Linked DNA regions of Oryctolagus cuniculus. The protein of the gene in region 3 interacts with the protein of the main gene of each other region in a biochemical or structural test. Links are inferred from orthologs where the notes say so. Each region holds a gene or a part of one and is shown on either strand. Other genes may lie near its edges.

Region 1 (4,098 bases), on a different chromosome or scaffold from region 3:
AACTACCTCAGAATCAGATCTATTTTCAAAGTAGGTACCCGTTTGTGGATTTACACATAAACCATGTTCATAGCTCCCTCTCATGACCACTGAATACTATACAAGCCTCTTTTTATTCTTGCTGTTGTATTCAACTAACAGCTCACTGGTTAAGTTTTAATTGCTTCCAATGAGGTCAGCAAAGGTATTTATCGAAAAGCGCTGAATAAAAAGGCTCCACACACACACACACAAGCATACACGCGCTCACACACAGAAAGAAAATCCTCTTGCCTGTTGATTTATGGAAACAATTATGATTCTGCTGGAGAATTTCTCAGCTGAGAAATAGTTTGTAGCTACAGTAGAGAGGCTCAAGTTGCACAAGGCAGACAACAGACATGGAATTCTTGTGTATCCAGCTGTTATAAACAGAACAAGTAAGTTACTGTTATTTGTCTTTAAAAACAATGCTGAATGTTTTTCTAAAAGTTTGTCTCTTTCTCTGGTTTTAGTGTTGAAGGGAAAAGTAAAGTGACCAGATTTCTGAGCTATGTGAATATATAATTATGCTGTAGAACTTATGTAAAGATAAAGCTGAAGTTCTGCAGGGAACTCCTGACACTTAACTTGAAAATGTGGGCTGTTTAGGAGAAAATAACTGAAAATGTAAAAGCATATAATAAGGAAATCCAGGAAAAGCATTTATATTTTGTTAACAGTAACTGTATAACTTAATTTAAATAAATAGCTGTAAGTACAGGATGTTTCTTACAAAATAGCAACCGGAATGAATGGACATATTCTCATATGAATTCTTATATTCTTATATGAACAGTCAAATTCTTATTTGTCTCTATTAATGCACAGTTTTTATAAATCTACATGTAGAATGGTAAAGATGCTGACATCCTCTATGAAAGCTGTTTTAAATGTATCTTTGTACTATAAGTTACATTGCATGTTATAATACTATTTAGCCACTGAAATTTATACATAGTATTTTTATCTTCCTTTTCTTCTCCCTTCCCCATTCCCAATCTCTCATTATAAACAGAAGCCAAGTAGCAAACAGCATCGCAGCAACTGAGTTTATTACAACCTGTTTTTATAAGGATATATCAGAGTTACTTAAGGAGGAATCCTATATTTTATCAGGAACTAAAAGGATAAGTCTAACATTTGGAAAGAGCAACTACTCTTTCTTAAATCAATCTGCAATTCAAAGATAGGAAGAGGTCAATGACCTAGGAATAACAATCAACTCAAGATTTAATTTTCATTATGTTATTCATGAACACCCGGAGCACTACACTATAATGCACAAATGGATACTGACATGGATCCTGCCAACTTTGCTCTACAGATCATGCTTTCACATTATCTGTCTAGTGGCCACTATATCTTTAGCTTGCAATGACATGACTCCAGAGCAAATGGCTGCAAATGTGAACTGTTCCAGCCCTGAGCGACATACAAGAAGTTATGATTACATGGAAGGAGGGGATATAAGAGTGAGAAGACTTTTCTGTCGAACACAGTGGTATCTGAGGATTGATAAACGAGGCAAAGTAAAAGGGACTCAAGAGATGAAGAACAATTACAGTAAGTAACGTCTTTTGTTTAAAGCACTGCTTATGAACTTTAACAATCTGTTAAAGGATCAATTTTCAGGGGACATGCTTTCTCATTTTCCTTTTAAAGCAATTAAGTGAAATGTCACCTAATTCTTTAACTTGAGATAGTTGAACTATGTCCTTAAAAATATCCTCTAGAACAGGGAAAATATTATTATGAATATTATAAATATTATATTTGAATTGATAACAAAAGACAATTTGAAAATAAATGTTGCATGTCCTAATCTCAAAATGCTCACAAATAAAGCAAAATGTAAAATATATTATTCACAATGAAATGTGATTTATAATTTTCTAGCAAAACTCATTAGGGAATGTCATATAGTACTAAGTAAATGCTCACTAAAACTACTTATCACTCCTGTGAGAAACAAAATTCATTTATTTTTATTGATTTGATTTCCTTTCAAAGAATATTTCATGATGTAAAATACTTAAACTGTGTTTAAAAATGCATTCTTATCCAATTGTGTGTAGTTATGAAACAGAAGGGAGTCTATGGTATCCTTATCCAGTCAAGTCATAATGAACTTATACAATTGCTTAATTATATACCTACACAGAAAAATAGATTTCTTCTAACATTTTCTTTAACCAAATCTTCTATATCACACAAGTTATATGTTGCCTTAAGATAAACATAAGTGTGAGGAAATAAAAATGAATTGGAAGAGATATTAATTCAATGATTTCCAGTTGAAAAGATATATTCCCCAAGGATCAGTTTTTCTATTCATGATGAAATTTTAAGGGATGGGTTTTTCATTTAACAGGATTAGTAGCCAATTTCAATAATATTAAATTTAGTGGGGCAAAATATATCTCAACATACACATTAAAGATTTAAAATATCTCAATGAACATGAATTTTTGTTGCATTACTAGCACTAGGACAATGTTAATGGTACATATTTTATAATGTGTGTGTTAAAGTCAGTTATAAAGGAATACATGGGAATGATGGTGTAAACACACATACCTAGAACAGTGCCAGGCTTGAAATAGTTACTTAAAACTTTTGCTGTTTACTGAGTTGCTTTTAGGCTTCTTACCTAATCAGCCAATAAATTTCCATTGTCAAAGTGAGAGATCTTTAAAATTATAATTGATACATGATGTTAAGGCCATTTAATGAATTAAGTTATGGTTTTATTATTATTATTGGCATTAATAAAGGTATGTTAATTCTAGAAGATTGTTCTAGTTATACTGACTTTTAGCTAAGCAAATGAGTATTTGGAGGAAGTTTTATATAAGCAAAAGGATTTGACTTGTAGACATCAATGTATTCACTGAGATTTGTCATAGTTAATGGAGTCTAGTGGAGATGATAGTACTCTGGTGGACTTATAACACGTAGGTCCAATTCCTGTGTGTGAATGACTTTGGTATAATCTCTTAGTTTTTGTAATGTTCAATTTTTCCATTTTTAAAACATGGGATGTATACAGATGATTTCTAAGGTACTTTCTAACTCTTATAGTCTATTCTGTTCTAAACTACATAACATACTACATAAATATGAAGAAACCTAAGTATCTATTTTATAATTATCACACACAACAAATGAGATTAAATATTATCTGATGGTAAGATCAACTGCTGGAACTATTGTCAAATTGTAGTAATGAATGATCAAACAAACACTACAGAATCCTATGTAAAGGTAGTTCCTTTTGAATGCTTTTAACAAATAATGAAAAGTAAAAACTTAAATGTAAAACTCAGTGGAAGTGAATAGTATGTGTAAGTATTTGAGATAAAAATATCTACAATTGGAATTAATTCACATACATAAATCACCCATAAATTTTATGTTAAAATTTCTTAAAATCATGAAACTAAGGTATTTATATACATAAACAAAGGGTTAAAGTTATTTTATATTTTGAGACACAATTTAATGCTAGCCTGGAGTAATCATAAACTCAATTTGATTAATATTTTGTATTCTAATATTAGTTCTGCAATAACAAAGTTATGTCATTATAAATTAGAATGTCATATGTACTAAAAAGACATGGTATGCATTACATAAATAATTCTTACCTACAAGCTTTTTCATAATATATATATATATATATGTGTGTGTGTGTGTGTTATGCTTTCTTGATATGGTATATTATCCTGGAAAAGGAAACTTCCATTAGGATTCTTTAAGTAAACTCTAAAATTATTGTCTATGCTGTTATGCTTTTTAAGAGTCAGTAAGATTTTTACAAAGCTGAAAAGAGGCTAAGGCATTTTTAAATATAGGAAATAGTAAGGTATAGAAGAAAATATTTCAATGAAGAAAATATGGAGAACAATTTATTAGAAGGAAATTGTCATTTCCTATTACTTATGTGGCAGTCTTACTCATTTAAAGAATGCACATAAACATGCAAATTGATAGATGTGAAATTGAAGCCATTATGTTAGGAAAGCTAGGTACAAGGAAAATACTTAGCAGAATTTGGTTAAAATACTCAAAGAAGAT
Region 2 (4,017 bases), on a different chromosome or scaffold from region 3:
CTCCACATGCCCCTGGTTCTAGTACCCATCTCTGGGGGGTCCTTGGAGGAAACAACCCACAGCCTGGGGTTACAGAAACATCATCTGTTCACACAGGAAGGCGAGAGAGAAAGGAGGGCAGAGCTGAGTGCCCATCCGGCCACAGCTCAGGCATGCAGTGAGTGCAGTAACACACTGAAAGATCTGGGGTTTTTTCAAAATCCCCTAACCCCCTCCTCCCACTAGAGACCTGCGCAAAAGCAGCCAAGCTCAGGCCTGGCAAGGCACAGAGGCAGGAAACCAAGGGGGGAGCCACTGTCGGCTCCCTGTGGCCACCGGACACAGGACACAAAGGGCTAGACCCCAAACAGGCTACCCGCTCTGAGACAGGAGTACCTGACGCCAAGGCACTTGGACTGGCCTGTCTGGGGCCAAGCTTCAGGTGGGTGCTTCCAAGTGCAAGGGCACAGCCCCTTTACCCAAGAGCCTGCCCCGGCTTTGGGCACCGGCATAGGCCTCCAAAAACTCAGCTTTGGGACAAAAGCAGCAGCAAGTAAAAGCGGCCTTTCTCAGGCTTCGCCAAGACAGAAAGGACCACCTTCTTCTCCCTCCCCAAGCAGATGAGCAGGCCTAGCCCTGTTTCAAAACCAGCCCTACCTCAACATCTGCCTAATTTTTACCCAGGGAACCCAAAGGTTCCCTTGCAATGAAGAGCCCAGCCTTGGGACCCAGGGAATCTCGCACCGCTCTTTCTGCAGAGGGGGAGGGCAGTGACCCTCGGGCCCCGATCGCGGGCAGGGTGGGCGCAGCTTGGCTCCCCTCGCCCGCCACCGCCGCTCCTTCCCGGGACTGGAGGGGCTCGACGCCTGCCCCGCTGGACTCCAGTCCGCCAGGATTTTTTAGGCCTCAGGGAAAGACGTCTGGAGGAGTCCCCCCAGCCGGGGGAGGGGGCGTCCTATCAGGTGACCGAGGATTTGGATGATCCCCGCCCCCCAGTGAGCACCGGAGCCGAGGCGGGGGCGGGTCCAGTGGGGGTGGGGAGAGCCCAAAGTTTGCCCAAGTCGCCAGGGAGGGCCGCGGCCGCGCGCGCCTCGCCAGCCCCGCGCGCGCAGCGGGCCCGGGGGCGGCACTTACTGGCCCCCTCGATCTTGTCGGCGCCGCGGCTCCACGTGATCTGGCGCGTCTCCAGTTTGACCTGGAAGGTCTTCCGCTCGGGCCGCTGCGACTTCTTGGAGTAGAACAAAGTCATGACGGTGCCCACCTCGAGGCTGCGGCAGAGGTGCAGCACCTCGGCTTCCGAGGGCGCGCCGGGAGCGCAGCCATTGGCGCAAGGGGACGCGGCGCCCGCCATGGCTCCGACGCTGGGGGCGGCGGCGGCGGCACAAGCCGGAGGAGCCGGGAGCAGGAGGAGGAGGAGGCGGCAGCTGAGGCGGCCGGCGACCGGGACCCGGCGGCGGCTCCTGCGGGCGGACACGGGGCGGAGCCTAAACACCGAAGGCGGGGCGGCCCGAGGATCCGCCCCGCCCGCGCGCCAGGAACAAAGGCGCCCGCGCGCCCGTGGGGAGGACCCCCGCCCCCGGCCCACCGCGCCTGCGCCCCGCGACCCCCGGCCAGGCCGCAAGCGGGGGCGCGGGGCGCCATGGTACGCCCCGCTCTCAAGCAATCCGTCCGTCGCTCGGCCCCGCAGAGCTTCCTCACGCGACCCCGGCAGGGCGCGGGGCCTCCACCGGCCCCGTCACGCACGGCAGCCCCGCCCACAGGCTGCAGGCCCGCGACCGACCGGCCCGTCAGTCAGGCGCTCGTGCACGCGAAGCCACCCGCCCACTGTCCCGCACAGGCCCGACCGCAGCCTCCGCGCCGCCCGCACAGCCACCTGGAGAAGATGTGAGGGTGCGACGCGCCCCTCGGGTCCGCCTGGCCAAACCCAATTACCTGGGCGAATTGCCCGGCGGAGGGAACCGGGCCAGGCCGGGCCGCCTCACACCCGCGGCGGCGGCGGCGGCGGCGGCGGCGGCGGAGGCGGGTTCTCCGCGCGCCCTCTTCGGGGAGGAGTGGGGGCGGGGCATCCCGAGGATTGGTCAGCGGGCTCTGATGGACAGCGTTCTGTCCCGCCCCCTCCCCCTGCCCGCGCAGAGCTGGCCCACAGGCCGCCCTTGCGAAGGCGAACCCCACGTCCGTCCTGCCCTTGCGTAGGTGCCCTTCCTCGGAGAAGCGCTTCGGGCGTGAGCATCCCCCGCAGGGCTCGTTAAACCCGCGCCCGCGCTGTCTGGAGACCTGACCTGTAGCCCCCAGCGGCCCTGTCTCTCTCCCTCTCTTGGCGTTGCCCGTTGCTCCTCGCCCTCGTTCCCCACGAGGCAGGACGCAGGTCGGATCCGTGAGGCGGGCTCAGGCCCTGCCTCACACCCCTCCTGCAGGTGCGCTCCTGAACTTTGGTTTTCCTGACCTCGCTCTGGACTCTGTCCTGGGCCAGTACCCATAGCGACCTGACTTCACGCAGTGCGCCGGTACCAGTGCCTCCACCTCCACGTCCCACTGTCCGCACCACGTTGCTACCTAATGCGGCTGCCTCACCCACACTCCCACACGGCTCCCCAGCCTTCGCTTTCTCAGAACATGGCACCAAACTCCTCTCGATTGCATAAGCCAAAAACCTGGCCAGTAACCTCGATTCCTCTGTCTGCCCCAGGTCAGATCCACCGAGGCCTGTTCACTTTGCCTGCAAGCCCACCAGGCCGTGGCCTCTCTCACCTGCGTCTGTTCTCCATGTTTAAATCTTTTAAAAGAAATAAAACCATGATCACCTACCTCTGGTCTACTATTCTCCCGCCCTGAGTGGCACACAGCAGGTTCTGATGGGCCTGGCCCCTTCCTATCTCCTGGCTTCTTCACTCTCTCTCCTCCCGTCAGCAGGCTTCTGTCTGGAATCATTCACCCTCTTCGTCTTCCTGAATGCTGTGAAAACTGAGGACATCTGCGGTCATGGGGAGGCATGCCTGACACGTGTTGCGCCAGGTGCTGCATTTCAGAGAGGCGCGGCCCAGCAGAGCTTTCCGGAGAAAGATCCAGGTGAGTTGGGATTTGTGAGGACAGGAGAGCATGTGTTCAGGCAACCGCACCCAGTACTAGGTGTGTGGAGCTGCCTCTGACTATCTCGCGGTGGTAGTAACTTGCGTGTGTGTGCATGCTCCTGCACTTTTGGTTCCTTCAAGTGTGGCCCCTAAGGCTCACAGCACTAGGCTCCTGTCAACTAAGGGCCAGCGGGGGAGCTGAGATGGACTGCCACCTAGTGACAAGCCTTTGAAGTGGGAGGCAGGCTGATCCTGATCACACGTGGTCCTCATAATCACCCTCTAATCAGGGACACTGGTCCCCAGTTTACTGATGAGGACGTTCAGAGAAGTTCTACATGACTTACCGAGCGGCCACGTCACTCACAACTGGGGACTTGAACCTATCCACCTCTGTTTTCTGCCTCACAAGAGGGCCTCTGGCTTAGGTAAGTCCTGGTGGTGAGCAGTCAGTGGGCATGAGGCTAGATGGCTACTGGCACAGGGAACCTGGCAGAACATTAGTGGTCAGAGCGTGGCTTGTACTCAAAGTGCCGCTGTCGCTGAGCTGCGAAGCGTGAGGAGAACAGGAGATCCAGCCCAGCCCCTCGGGGGATTAACAGACCTTAAACAAATAAGCACTCTGTTCTGTAAAGACACTTGTGATGAGGGCTCCAGAGGAAAAGAACAGATGAAAGAAAACACAGTGAGGTTGCCAGTGCGGCAGCTCACTAGGCTAATCCTCCGCCTGCGGCGCTGGCACACCGGGTTCTAGTCCCGGTCGGGGCGCCAGATTCTGTCCCGGTTGCTCCTCTTCCAGTCCAGCTCTCTGCTGTGTCCCGGGAAGGCAGTGGAGGGTGGCCCAGGTGCTTGGGCTCTGCACCCGCATGGGAGACCAGGAGGAAGCACCTGGCTCCTGAATCGGCGCAGCATGCCAGCCATAGCAGCCATTTGGGGGGGTGAACCAACAGAAGGAAGACCTTTCTCTCTG
Region 3 (6,216 bases):
ATTCGGGCTTCGGACTTTTCTACAGGGAAGGCACAGCTGCCTGGTGCAGAGTGAGCAAGCGAGCGAGCGAGGGGAAAGAGAAACTCCGGGTCTTGAAAGGAGAGCGTTTTCGCTGTGGCCAGGAGGCTGCCCCCACCCCCTTCCCTGGTCTCTCTGCCACCGCCGGGTCGGCAGCGCGATTTGTTCCTTGGAAGGGCCGGGGCCTCACGCTTGGTGTCCTGGGCTTTCTTCCTCCTCGTTGATGTATCGTTCGCAAGGGCTTCGGGGGAGAAAAGGGTGACTACTCAAGACATTTTGAACGAGGGGGACAATGGGAAGAAAGGGGCCTCGTAGGGGGTGCAGGGACTGTGAAAGTGGCCTTGTCTGGTGGGGCTTTCAGCGAGACCTGGTGCGGGTGCTCCTGGTGCAGTTCCAACTGTCACCTTTAGTTCTCGCTGGCTTTGCTGCCCTGGTCCCAGCACTGCGCAGACTGGGGCTTATTTACCTATTCACACTCTGCTGGGGAAGCGCATTAATGGGCTGATTAGCGACACCATTCACGAGGTCATTGACAAAAGCAGTTCCAGCGGCTTGAAGTGGGAAGACAGGGAGAGAGAGAGCGAGAGCGAGAGCGAGCTACCAAGAGATTATTCGCTCATTCAGAGCCTCGCTGGTGTGACAGCTTTCCTGGACCGGACCGTCTGAGGTCACTCGCAGCCTCAGTATGATGACAGAGTTGATTTTTTTCGAAAAAATTCCAAACATGCTTTTTCTTTTCCCAAAACGGCGGAGTTTGCTGGTGCAGGCTCTGGGCTTCTCTGGCCCAGAAATGAGTGCTCCTAATGGGAGTGAGGCGCTTCTGACGCACTGGTCTTTGCACCTCCATAAAGAGTCAATTCTGCAGGCTGCGTCTGGACACGAGCGTACACGTCTTGTGTCACTCTCTGTGCCAGGCTTCGTTTGCATTCAGAGTGCCGGGCCCTACCGACGGCTGGCCGGTGGGGACAGCGGCTTCCTGCATGGGTAATTTATGTGAGAATGCGCCAGTGGCCTTTCCTGGGCACGGGCTTCGTCCTGAGCCACTTGTTTCCCATCGGTGGGGAACATAAAGACGTCAGCGCCAGCCTCCGCTCAGACAGACGCTGGGCCACGGTCCCTGGTCTCTCCCAGGATCTCTGGCTTGAGCGGCCCCTGTAAGGGCAGAGGCTGGGTGTCACCTGGCTGAGACACCTGCTAATGACAAAGCCGGGCTGGGACAGGCCAGCTCAGCCAGAGGACTTTGCCAACAGCACGCCCCATCGAACAAGCATCTACACAGATCCTTTGACTTGCCCAGCTCTTGTTTTTGCTGTCAGCCTCCCCAAATACAATTTCACAGCTGTGGCCTGAGGCAGGTAGATGGATTTGTCACTCCCAGATTTGAAGCCATCTGCATAGAAGTTTCCAAGGCTGCAGCTGAATGAAACCGATTGTCTCATCACCTGGCCAACAAACACATCTTCCCGCTGGCTGTGGGGTGCACCCGGGGTGTGTGTGTGGGGGTCGGCTGTTCCCTGCCCCGTCCACCTTCCCCCCCAAGAGGCTTTTCAGGGACTTCTGGGTTAGGTGACATTTTTCTAAGAACAAATAATTAAGGGTTTTATCTGTAGGGTCTTGAGATGGCTCAGGAGCTGTCTGGGAAAGTAGATTTAAAAACAAATTATCCCCAGACACGGCCTAGCGGAAAGGGCACACAGAAAACCCGGACTTTAATCAGTGACAGCTTGGTGCCGCCAAAGCATCTGAGATTCAGAGGCAGGTTAGGGTCTGCTTAGGGTCAGGCTGTTCCTGGCAGCCTTGAGAGTTTCGCATTTCTGTTTATTAACCCAATATGCTCGTGGGTGACGAAACAGCCCGCTGCTGTTGCTACTGCTGCTTGGGGCCTTTTCTCAAAAGAGCCAGATTCCAGGGCAGGCTCTGCGGGGTCCTCCGGGTGACCCCGGCCCAACGGGGTGACCTCTCCGACCCGCTCACGCCTCTCCCGAAGTGGGGCGCGGGGCTCCGCGGGAGCTTCCCGGCCAGGGCTCTGCCCTCTGTGCGCAAGGCCAGAGAAACGGTGCAGAGGCGCTCCGCCGCCTCGCACGGTGCGGGCGAGGCTTCCGTGCCTCGGAGGGGCAGCACCTCGTGTCGCTGGCTTTCCATCCCGCCCGGAGCCAGCGTGAGGCCGGCCGCGGGCCAGCTCGCCCGGGCGCGCCGCGGGAGCAGGCCTTATTCGGGGGCCTCGGCGGCACCGCTCCGCGGCCACCGGGGCCGGGCGTCGCGGGCGCCTCGCAGGCGTCGGGAGCCGCGCGCGGCGCGGGGCGGCCCGGGCGCGCGGCGCTGATTGGCAGAGCGGGCGCCGCCGTCCAGGAAGCGGCTCGGGTTTCAGCGGGGGCGTGACCCGCAGCGAGGAGGCGGCGGCGGCGGCGGCGGCGGGGCCGCGGAGAGCGCCGCGGAGAGCCGAGCGGGCGGGCGCGGAGCGGAGCGGACCGGCGGGCGAGCGGCGAGCGGCGAGCGCGCGCGGCCGCCACAAAGCTCGGGCGCCCGGGGGCTGCCTGCGGCGTGCGAGGCCCGGCGCGGCCACCGCTCTCCGGGCTGGCGGGCGGCCCGCGCGCACCGGGGGGCCCCGAGGCCGCAGCTCGCGCGCGCTCTCCGGGCGCCTGCAACTTGCGAGCGAAGTTTGGCGGAGCGGACGCCGAGCCCTTTCTTCACCGCGCTTCCCCGGACCCGAGGGGCAGCGGGCGGGCGTGATGCCCGCGCGCCTCCGCAGCCTGCGGTGCGCGTGAAGCCGCGGAGCCTCCGCGCCGGCCGGGCCCACCGCCCTCCTCCGCCCCGGGACTCCTCTTGCTCGGCTTTGGAGGCTCTCCCGGGCGCGTCTCCGGCCGCATCCCGAGCCGCGCCGTGCGCGGGGACTGCCCGGATCGCGGAGCAGCGTTGCCATTCAAGGTAATCGGCGCGCTGGGCGCTTCGGGGAAGTGAGAGCGCGGGCAGGGGGCACTCCGCGTCCTGCGCCCCGGGCCGCGTCGGTGCTGGGGAGGTGGGTGCGAGCCGAGGGCTGGCACCCGAGGACCACCCACGCCAGGTGCTGACGCTGCCTCTGGCGCTGACAACCCCTTCGCTGTCAAAGTCGGGCGGGCGCCACCCCCGCAGGCCGGGGCTCCGGAGGCGCATCTTCGGGGTGCCCGTCCCATCCAGGTCCTGGAGGGAAGCCTTCCCCGGGAGGAAGCCTCTGGAGGCGGCGGCGGCGGCGGCGGTGGGGGGCTGGCGACCTCCCGGAGGGGTGGCGCCTGCGGGGGCCGTCTTTCGGGTTCCCAGGTTTCGGTGCGGGGCGCCCTTGCGCGAGCTCGGCGCTCCTGGGGCTAGGGGGCGACCTGGACCGACGTTTCCCCCTCGGCCCGCCCGCTCCGCCGCCGCCGATGTCGACAGCGCGGCGAGTCCCGACCTGCGCGCCCATTCCTGCAGCACCGGGCGGCGCCGGGGACGCGGCCGAGGGCGCCGGGCCTCGCGAACTGGTCCCGGGACGGTGCCTCCTCGCTCCCCACCTGGGGGGACCTCCCCCTCGGGGTACCCCTTGCACTGCGGGCGTGAAGCGCTGTCCACGCTTAAAACCCCATTGTCCCCCGCGTCCCAAATCCCCGTAAATCTTCCCCCGGCCTCGAACTCATTTTCATCTGAAAAGCCTGTTTAGTTTGAATAGAAAAGCAATCAGGCGCCCCTCTCCCGCTCCCTGGAATGTCAATTAAAATGCAGATTTCCCCAAGCTCTTTAGCGCCCCGAGAAGGGGCGAGAAAAACTGGAGATTCCAGGCCGTGCCGGGGAAGCTGCGCGACCGTGGAGCGGGTTGGCGGCGGGGAGCGCCCGGGCCGCGGCTTTGGGGGCGTGCGCCCGGGGCTGCGGGCGCTGATGCGGAGTCGGCGCGGGTCTGGGGCCGCGTTTGCTGGGATTTCCACGTGTTGCGGACTTGCTCCCCTAGGCTGGACTCCCCGGCGGATCGCCTGTCCTCCTCGGCTCTGGGGTGAAGTTGGGAGGCCTGGAGCAAGGGGGCTGGGGGTGGAGGCGCCCCTGCCCTGGCGCTGTTGACTTTCCCGCGCGAAGTCCGCCCAGGAGCGGAGGGGCAGGTGGCCCCTCTATCGGCCTCTCGGGGCGCGTGGGCTTGGGGTTTGGGGCTGTTAGCTGTGGCTCCCGGAGCAGGGCCAGGCGCCCGCGGGGCTCTTTGCGCTAGTCCCAGCTCGCGTCTTGGGGGGGCAGACTTGTGCCGGGGTTGGGGGGGCGGCGGCGGTGGACGAGAGCCATCCATCAGAGGGAGGGTGACAGCTCCAGCGGCGCGCGGGCTGAGCAGAGAGTTCCCTTTCAAGGGGAAAAATAAACAGGCTTTCGCTGAGGCTCAGACCCCGGGAAGGAGTATGGCTGTGCAGGCCGGAAGCCGGGCTTGTGGCCGCCAGCGGCATGCTGGGCCTGTGTTCCCAACACCGAGCCCCGGGACCTCATTATCCTGCCCGGGGGGTCGCCTGGGCCTGGTGTCCACTCCAGTACCTGCCGCCCCGGGGGCCTGGGCCTCGCAAAGAGCTGGGGCGGAGGACCGCCGCGGGGCCTGAACCTGGAGACTGACGGAAATTCAGGTTTTCCCTGGGGTCTGCCGCGGGCACTGGCCACTGTCCTCCTTTCTTGGCTGTGCAGGTGGGTGGAGCGGCCGGGGGAGCAGCCTGGGGTCAGTCCTTGCGCTGCGGGATGTGAGATTGCTCCTGAAGCGTTAGAGGCGGAAAATTCCCCTGCATTCTGTAGATGCACAGGAATGCTCTGTGCTCCCCTCCCACATGGCTGTAGGGATACACACAGCCTGTCTGAAGGCTCTTGACTTGAAGGGGAAGAGAAGTTAGGGAAGTCCCTGGAGCTGCACAGGCGCACACGGACACGTGCACAACGCGCTCTCCTCCTGCCTTTGCTGTGGATGGCAGCCTGTCACCTGTGCTTTCCTTATCCCTGCTCTGGGAACCTCTTCACTTGCACCCACTTGAACCCCAGGACTGGAAGGAACAATTTTTATGGTAGACCTTTAGGGAGGTGCCAGCGGTGTGGAAATCTCCTCAGCATAATTTGAAACATCAAGTTGGCACGCAGCAAGCCCGGGTTAGAGATTTTTGTATTAAAGTTCTCGCTCCTGCCTGCCCCCCCCCCCCAGCCTTAGGAAGTGTGGTTCATGGGGTCTGAAGCCTGAACTTGGGGTATCATTTTGTGGGACTGTTTGAATCAAATTCTCTGTCACTGACGACATGAATGAGTTTAAAGTTATTAGGAATATTTTAAACTTCCTGGGAAAAGTCCCTGCCTGGTATCCGTTGGGTGAACAGAATAGATAGATTGAGACTCCTGTGTGCCACATCCCGGTACCTGGGCTGGGTACCAGCCTCAGGCTTCGGACTCCGGCTTCCTGCTAGGGCAGACCCCGGGAGGCAGTGGTGATGGCTCAAGTAACTGGGTTCCCGCCATCCACGTGGGAGACCTGGATTCCATTCCTGGCTCCTGGCTTCCGCAGGCTTTGTGGATATCTGGGGGAGTGAAGCAGCCAGTGGGAGCTCCTTCCCTGTCTTTCTCTGTGTCTTTCTCTTGTCTCTGTGTCAAAGACAAATTTAAAATAAATAGAAATAAATAGGTTATTGGCCGAGCCAGCATGTCAGCGTAATTCACACATCATCATCATCATTAATAAACTCTTGCATTATTCATCCGAGTCTGCGCTTCTCCACCCCTCTGCTGAGGTTGGAGACGTTTAGCCGTCCGCTGCCGTTTGGTCGGTGCAGGGGACTTCTGGTCTTGCCCCCCCTTTTTGGATAGCCGCTTCGACTGTGTTCCGATTCTGTTCCGTCTTCTGGCGAGGGATTGAAATCCACTTCTGCGTTTGAAAATGAGTCCTGACAAGTGGAACCTGGTGGGGATTTCTCTGTAAGCTTCCTGGGATCCCTGTCTTCCGGAGCACCACAGAGGGAGTGGAACAAACCCCTGGGCTGCGAGCAGACGCCGGCGGTGGTTGGTCAGCTTCCGGAACGGCGGGAAGCGCTTAACGAGGCTGAGCGCCGGGGGACTGCTTTTGGGGTGCCCCTGGCACTGAGGTCGCGCCGTCCCTGCTTTGAGGGTGGCAGAGGCGACGGTGGATGGTGGAAGAGAACGTACTCTGCCTGACTGAAGTGGCCGCGCCTGGCTGAGTCCTGTGGCTCCTTTTAC
Region 4 (4,023 bases), on a different chromosome or scaffold from region 3:
TCCCTCTGCCCAGCCCACACCCTTGCAAGAAAGAAAGAGGGAAAACAAGGGAAAAGGTGAGAGAGAAATCCAGGGACCCTGGCATCAACTGTCTTTAGCAGAAAGCCTCATCCTATGGGATAAACTATAGCCATGGAAACAGACGTATGACTCTTACTTTGAAAAATAAAAGGATGACAATGAAATTTGTGTGAGGTCTGTGTGAATCCAGCCCCAGATGTTTACAATGCTGTAGTAGTAGGGCTCTGCAATATGAGAGGTTTCAGACCAAACAGTACAACGGGACACCACAAAGCAGCGCATATGCTATTGACAATGCAGACACGAGCATCATGTTACCAAGAGAGAAGGCAGGCAGAAGACAAATAGCAGCGGAGTTGCCTGAAAAGCTCACTTCACGGACTGCAATCGCTCACAACAAGAGGGACCAAAAAAAAAAAAAAAAAATCAAAACCAGAAAAGGGCTTTTCGCTCCTATCTCCGTGTTAGGCAGCCAGTGGAAATGACTTTTCTTTCTTAAATAAAGTTCCCATAAAGCCCCTATAACTGACAGGGGATAATTATTTTCAGCTTGGGGAGCCTGTCCCAAAACTCTTCACAAGATTGCCAAGGAAAAGAAACAAAATGTGTTTACTTGAGCCACTTCCAGAAGGGAGGGAGAGAGGGGACCTTCGGACGCGATGGGGAAGGGCGGTGCAGACATAGAGGGGCATCGGTGCCCTGCACAACTCGCGAGCGCCCTGCGCGGTCCAGCGAGTGACAAGCCCGGGAGAAGAGACCGAGAGGGTGGCGCCGGGTGGGGGGCGTGCAGGGAGCGGGCCTAGGGGAGGGGATGCAGCCGCACAATGTATACACGGGGGGGGGGGGTGATTTAGTGTGAAAGTATTCCACTTAATCATTTTACAGGGGTTGGCGACGTAAATATTTAGCTGGCCACATCTGGAACGGATTTCCCCCCCGCGTGGGGTGGAGGTGGATAATTGGCAGGAAGGGAGCACGCGTTTGTTACTTACTGTACGGGCAGTTCTCTTTCTTGGTCCCGCTGACCTTCCCGTTCTTCTCAATCTTGAGAAAGTACTTGGTGAAAGAGAATAGCTTTCTCCAGCGCACATCTCCTTGGAGGTGATTGTAGCTCCGCACATGCCTCCCGGCACTGGAAGGAGAAGAGAAGGAGGAGGAGGAAGAGGAGGAGGAGGAAGAGGAGGAGGAGGAGGAGGAAGAGTTGGTGGCCTCTGGTGACACCATGTCTTGACCAAGGGCTTGGCAGGTGACAGGGACGGAAGACACCAAGAACAGCAACAAGAAGCACCAGCAGCAGCCGCCGGGCAGGTGGGGAAAGGCTGAGGCACAATGTGTCAGTATCCATTTCCACATTGTACTGAAACTCTCGGCACTGGAAATTGTCTCATCAGAAGGAACATACTGGAAGGGTGAGACCTGGTGCAAGGCAAGGAGACAGCTGGAGGTGGCGGCTGCTGGTTAGCTCCCTCCGGGCGCGGATCTGGCCAGAAGTGAATGCACCAACATCCATAACTCCTCCGGAGGGCCGGCAGCCTGGGCTCGCTCCGTCCGCGGATCCGCTGCCTGCGCCTCGCGGGGTCTGCCCGGGCACAGTGGACGTGGGTGGCCGCAGCAGCGGGAGCCGGCGCTGTGGGTCACCGGCGCTCTTCGCTCCCCCAGGAGTCACTTTGTTCTCTTCTTCACTCCCTTCTTCACCATGTTAGATGCAAAAAAGGTCTGAAAAACAGATGACAGCACGGTGAACAAAACCTAAGGGGGGTGGGGAGGGGGAGGGGGGGATCCCTGCGCCCCTCGGCGGTTGGCACCTCCTGGTCCCCCTCCGCAGAGCCTCAGCCTGCTGGCCGCTGCAGAAAACGTGTCCCTTTGGGGATGTCAGCTCTGCAGGCAGCTGCCCGGTCGCCGTTGTTTCGTTGTTTTCTTCCCCGTCTTCCTTGCTCTTTTTGGTGGTGCCTGCTGATGTGAAGCCTCCAGAAAGTCGCTCCTTTTGGGGGGGAGGGGGGTGGCGGCTGGTGTTTTTGTTTGGGCCCTCTCCCCCACCCCCCTTCCTTTGGAAAGTCCGCTTGTAAACAGGTTGAAGCTCAGAGTCTAAATGTCAGTGGTGGTTCCGAGCCAGAGGTGGGCTCTGCCTCTGCTGGTCAAACCTCATTTGCAGGGGTGGAGGAGCGGGGGGAGGGGGTCAAAAGGCGGTGGGACATCTGAAACCCTCGGCTGCTGGGAACGCCGGGGCGGGGGGGAGGGAGGAGGCCGGGCGGGGGGAGCCCGGGGAGAGCGCGCCGCCTGCGCCCGGAGCTCGGGGGCTCCGCGTCCCGGCCCCGCCGCCGCAGCCTCGGCGGCCGCCTCCGGCTCCTCTCGCTGCCCCAGCGCCCTGCGCTCTCCGCGCCGGCCGCCAGCGCGAGCGGCGTCCTCCAGCTTCGCCAGTTGTGCCGTCTGGCAGCCTGAACCAATCCCCTGTCGGGAGCCCCTTTCTCACTTGTTTTCCTGCGCTGCTGTTGTTGTTTTTCCTTTTGGCAGTGAAGTTCTTGAGAGCCACCTGGAGCCTGGTGCTTACTGACTTTTTTTCTTCCTTCTTCTTCCCCAGCCCCTCTGTCTTCCCCAAGGAGGGAGGGCTGCGGAGAAAGCAGAAGATGCTGAGGATAAACCCTCCCAAACAGCAGATTATAAACTGGTGGGAGCGAGCACGGCAAAGGGAGACTTAATGAGCTTCCTCTCCTTCTCTTCTGCCCGCTTCCAAGGAGGTCTCCGCTTTAATGAATCACTGATTTCTCGCTTCCGTTGCTGAAGTAAAAAGTTCACACTTTGGCCCTCTCAGCCTTTTAAGCTCAGGGAGATTTATCGTCACCCTTAAAAGTCGCCTCTCTCTTGGCGCAAATGAAATCAGGGACCCAAATGACCGATTTCTAATTGCTAACATGAGTCCCTGACTGAATCGCGCGTGCACTTCAAAGCGAACGCACTTGATTGAGATCCCAAAGGTTTTTACCATACAATTTTGCCAAATACCCTGCTGTCTGTTTTCTTTTCTGTGCAATTTCCTTTGCACTTTACCATAAAGGGCCTGGTTTTTTTCTATCTTCGGACGCAATGCTTAAAGGGTCCTACTTGACAATATTACTGCACCATCAGCTCACTCCTCACTCTTCCGGAAGCTGCGTTGCTCGCAGAAACTCACTCACAACCCAGGTATGGATAGAACTAAGTCCAAGGCTCCGGAAACTTTGCCAAGAGTTAAGGGGCACAAAGAAGGGAATACTGCGAGAACCCATTACAACCGAAGTAAGGGACAATTCCTCCGGGACCACTTCTTCTAAGAATTACTCTAACCTGGGAAATTTCACTGGAAGGAATGCCTAAACACATATTGGTCCAAAGCATATATGTTATGGAGGGCAGTTGGACAGTTGCGTTTTGTTGGAACGTCAGTATTTTATCCACTGGACCTGTGAAAGTAGCAGTTCCCTATGTTTCAACCTAATTGCCTGCCAATCTAAGACAGAGATTCTAGGTGAACTTGAGAGTCAAACAATTGCCACTGTTACTTGGAAGGAATTAGCCATAAGAGCTTATGATATACAAACCAAATTCCTTATAATGTGCATTTCATTGTGAACTGAAGAAAATACAAAGGAATTAAAATTGTACTTTTAGAGGTGAGAGTACGCATTTGATTGAGTAACTTAAAAAACAGCTTTACATGTAAGCTCTTATAGTTTCCTGTGCATTCAGAGCCTTTGAAATAGAACCATTTAATACTAGAATCGGGACATTAATCGCATTATTTATAACTTATTGCAAAGCTTATTTATTAGATTTCAACAATGTGGTAAACATCACAGTAGATTTTTATATTTAATATAATTAGTCCTTATTACCGTAGCTATTAATTGCAAAGTTAAGCAAATAAAGGGCATACATCAAACAAGTCTTGCTCTTTAATTAAAACATGGATATTAAAAAATGAACCCACAGTGCTGATTTCAATTTCCTAGCTCACACTTTTATACC

What was found.
Region 1: the proteins of FGFR2 (region 3) and FGF7 form a complex in vitro, tested with the Homo sapiens proteins (3 studies listed by BioGRID). The link is inferred for Oryctolagus cuniculus from reciprocal best matches to the Homo sapiens genes FGFR2 and FGF7.
Region 2: the proteins of FGFR2 (region 3) and PLCG1 form a complex in vitro, tested with the Homo sapiens proteins (2 studies listed by BioGRID and IntAct). The link is inferred for Oryctolagus cuniculus from reciprocal best matches to the Homo sapiens genes FGFR2 and PLCG1.
Region 4: the proteins of FGFR2 (region 3) and FGF10 are reported together in a solved structure, tested with the Homo sapiens proteins (3 studies listed by BioGRID and IntAct, with this or other methods). The link is inferred for Oryctolagus cuniculus from reciprocal best matches to the Homo sapiens genes FGFR2 and FGF10.

What each region holds. Positions count from the first base shown.
Region 1 is NC_091443.1:72,203,095-72,207,192, forward strand, and holds the start of FGF7 (fibroblast growth factor 7 precursor), read left to right. Parts: upstream 1-1,298; coding exon 1,299-1,584; intron 1,585-4,098. UniProt on the Homo sapiens protein: Plays an important role in the regulation of embryonic development, cell proliferation and cell differentiation. Required for normal branching morphogenesis. Growth factor active on keratinocytes.
Region 2 is NC_091442.1:17,799,490-17,803,506, forward strand, and holds the start of PLCG1 (1-phosphatidylinositol 4,5-bisphosphate phosphodiesterase gamma-1), read right to left. Parts: upstream 2,801-4,017; 5' UTR 2,785-2,800; intron 2,038-2,784; exon of another isoform or gene 1,912-2,037; intron 1,868-1,911; exon of another isoform or gene 1,853-1,867; intron 1,440-1,852; 5' UTR 1,331-1,439; coding exon 1,114-1,330; intron 1-1,113. UniProt on the Homo sapiens protein: Mediates the production of the second messenger molecules diacylglycerol (DAG) and inositol 1,4,5-trisphosphate (IP3). Plays an important role in the regulation of intracellular signaling cascades.
Region 3 is NC_091446.1:9,299,064-9,305,279, forward strand, and holds the start of FGFR2 (fibroblast growth factor receptor 2), read left to right. Parts: upstream 1-2,458; 5' UTR 2,459-2,943; intron 2,944-4,393; exon of another isoform or gene 4,394-4,674; intron 4,675-6,216. UniProt on the Homo sapiens protein: Tyrosine-protein kinase that acts as a cell-surface receptor for fibroblast growth factors and plays an essential role in the regulation of cell proliferation, differentiation, migration and apoptosis, and in the regulation of embryonic development.
Region 4 is NC_091445.1:69,802,246-69,806,268, forward strand, and holds the start of FGF10 (fibroblast growth factor 10), read right to left. Parts: upstream 2,801-4,023; 5' UTR 2,492-2,800; intron 2,380-2,491; exon of another isoform or gene 1,738-2,379; 5' UTR 1,375-1,737; coding exon 1,014-1,374; intron 1-1,013. UniProt on the Homo sapiens protein: Plays an important role in the regulation of embryonic development, cell proliferation and cell differentiation. Required for normal branching morphogenesis. May play a role in wound healing.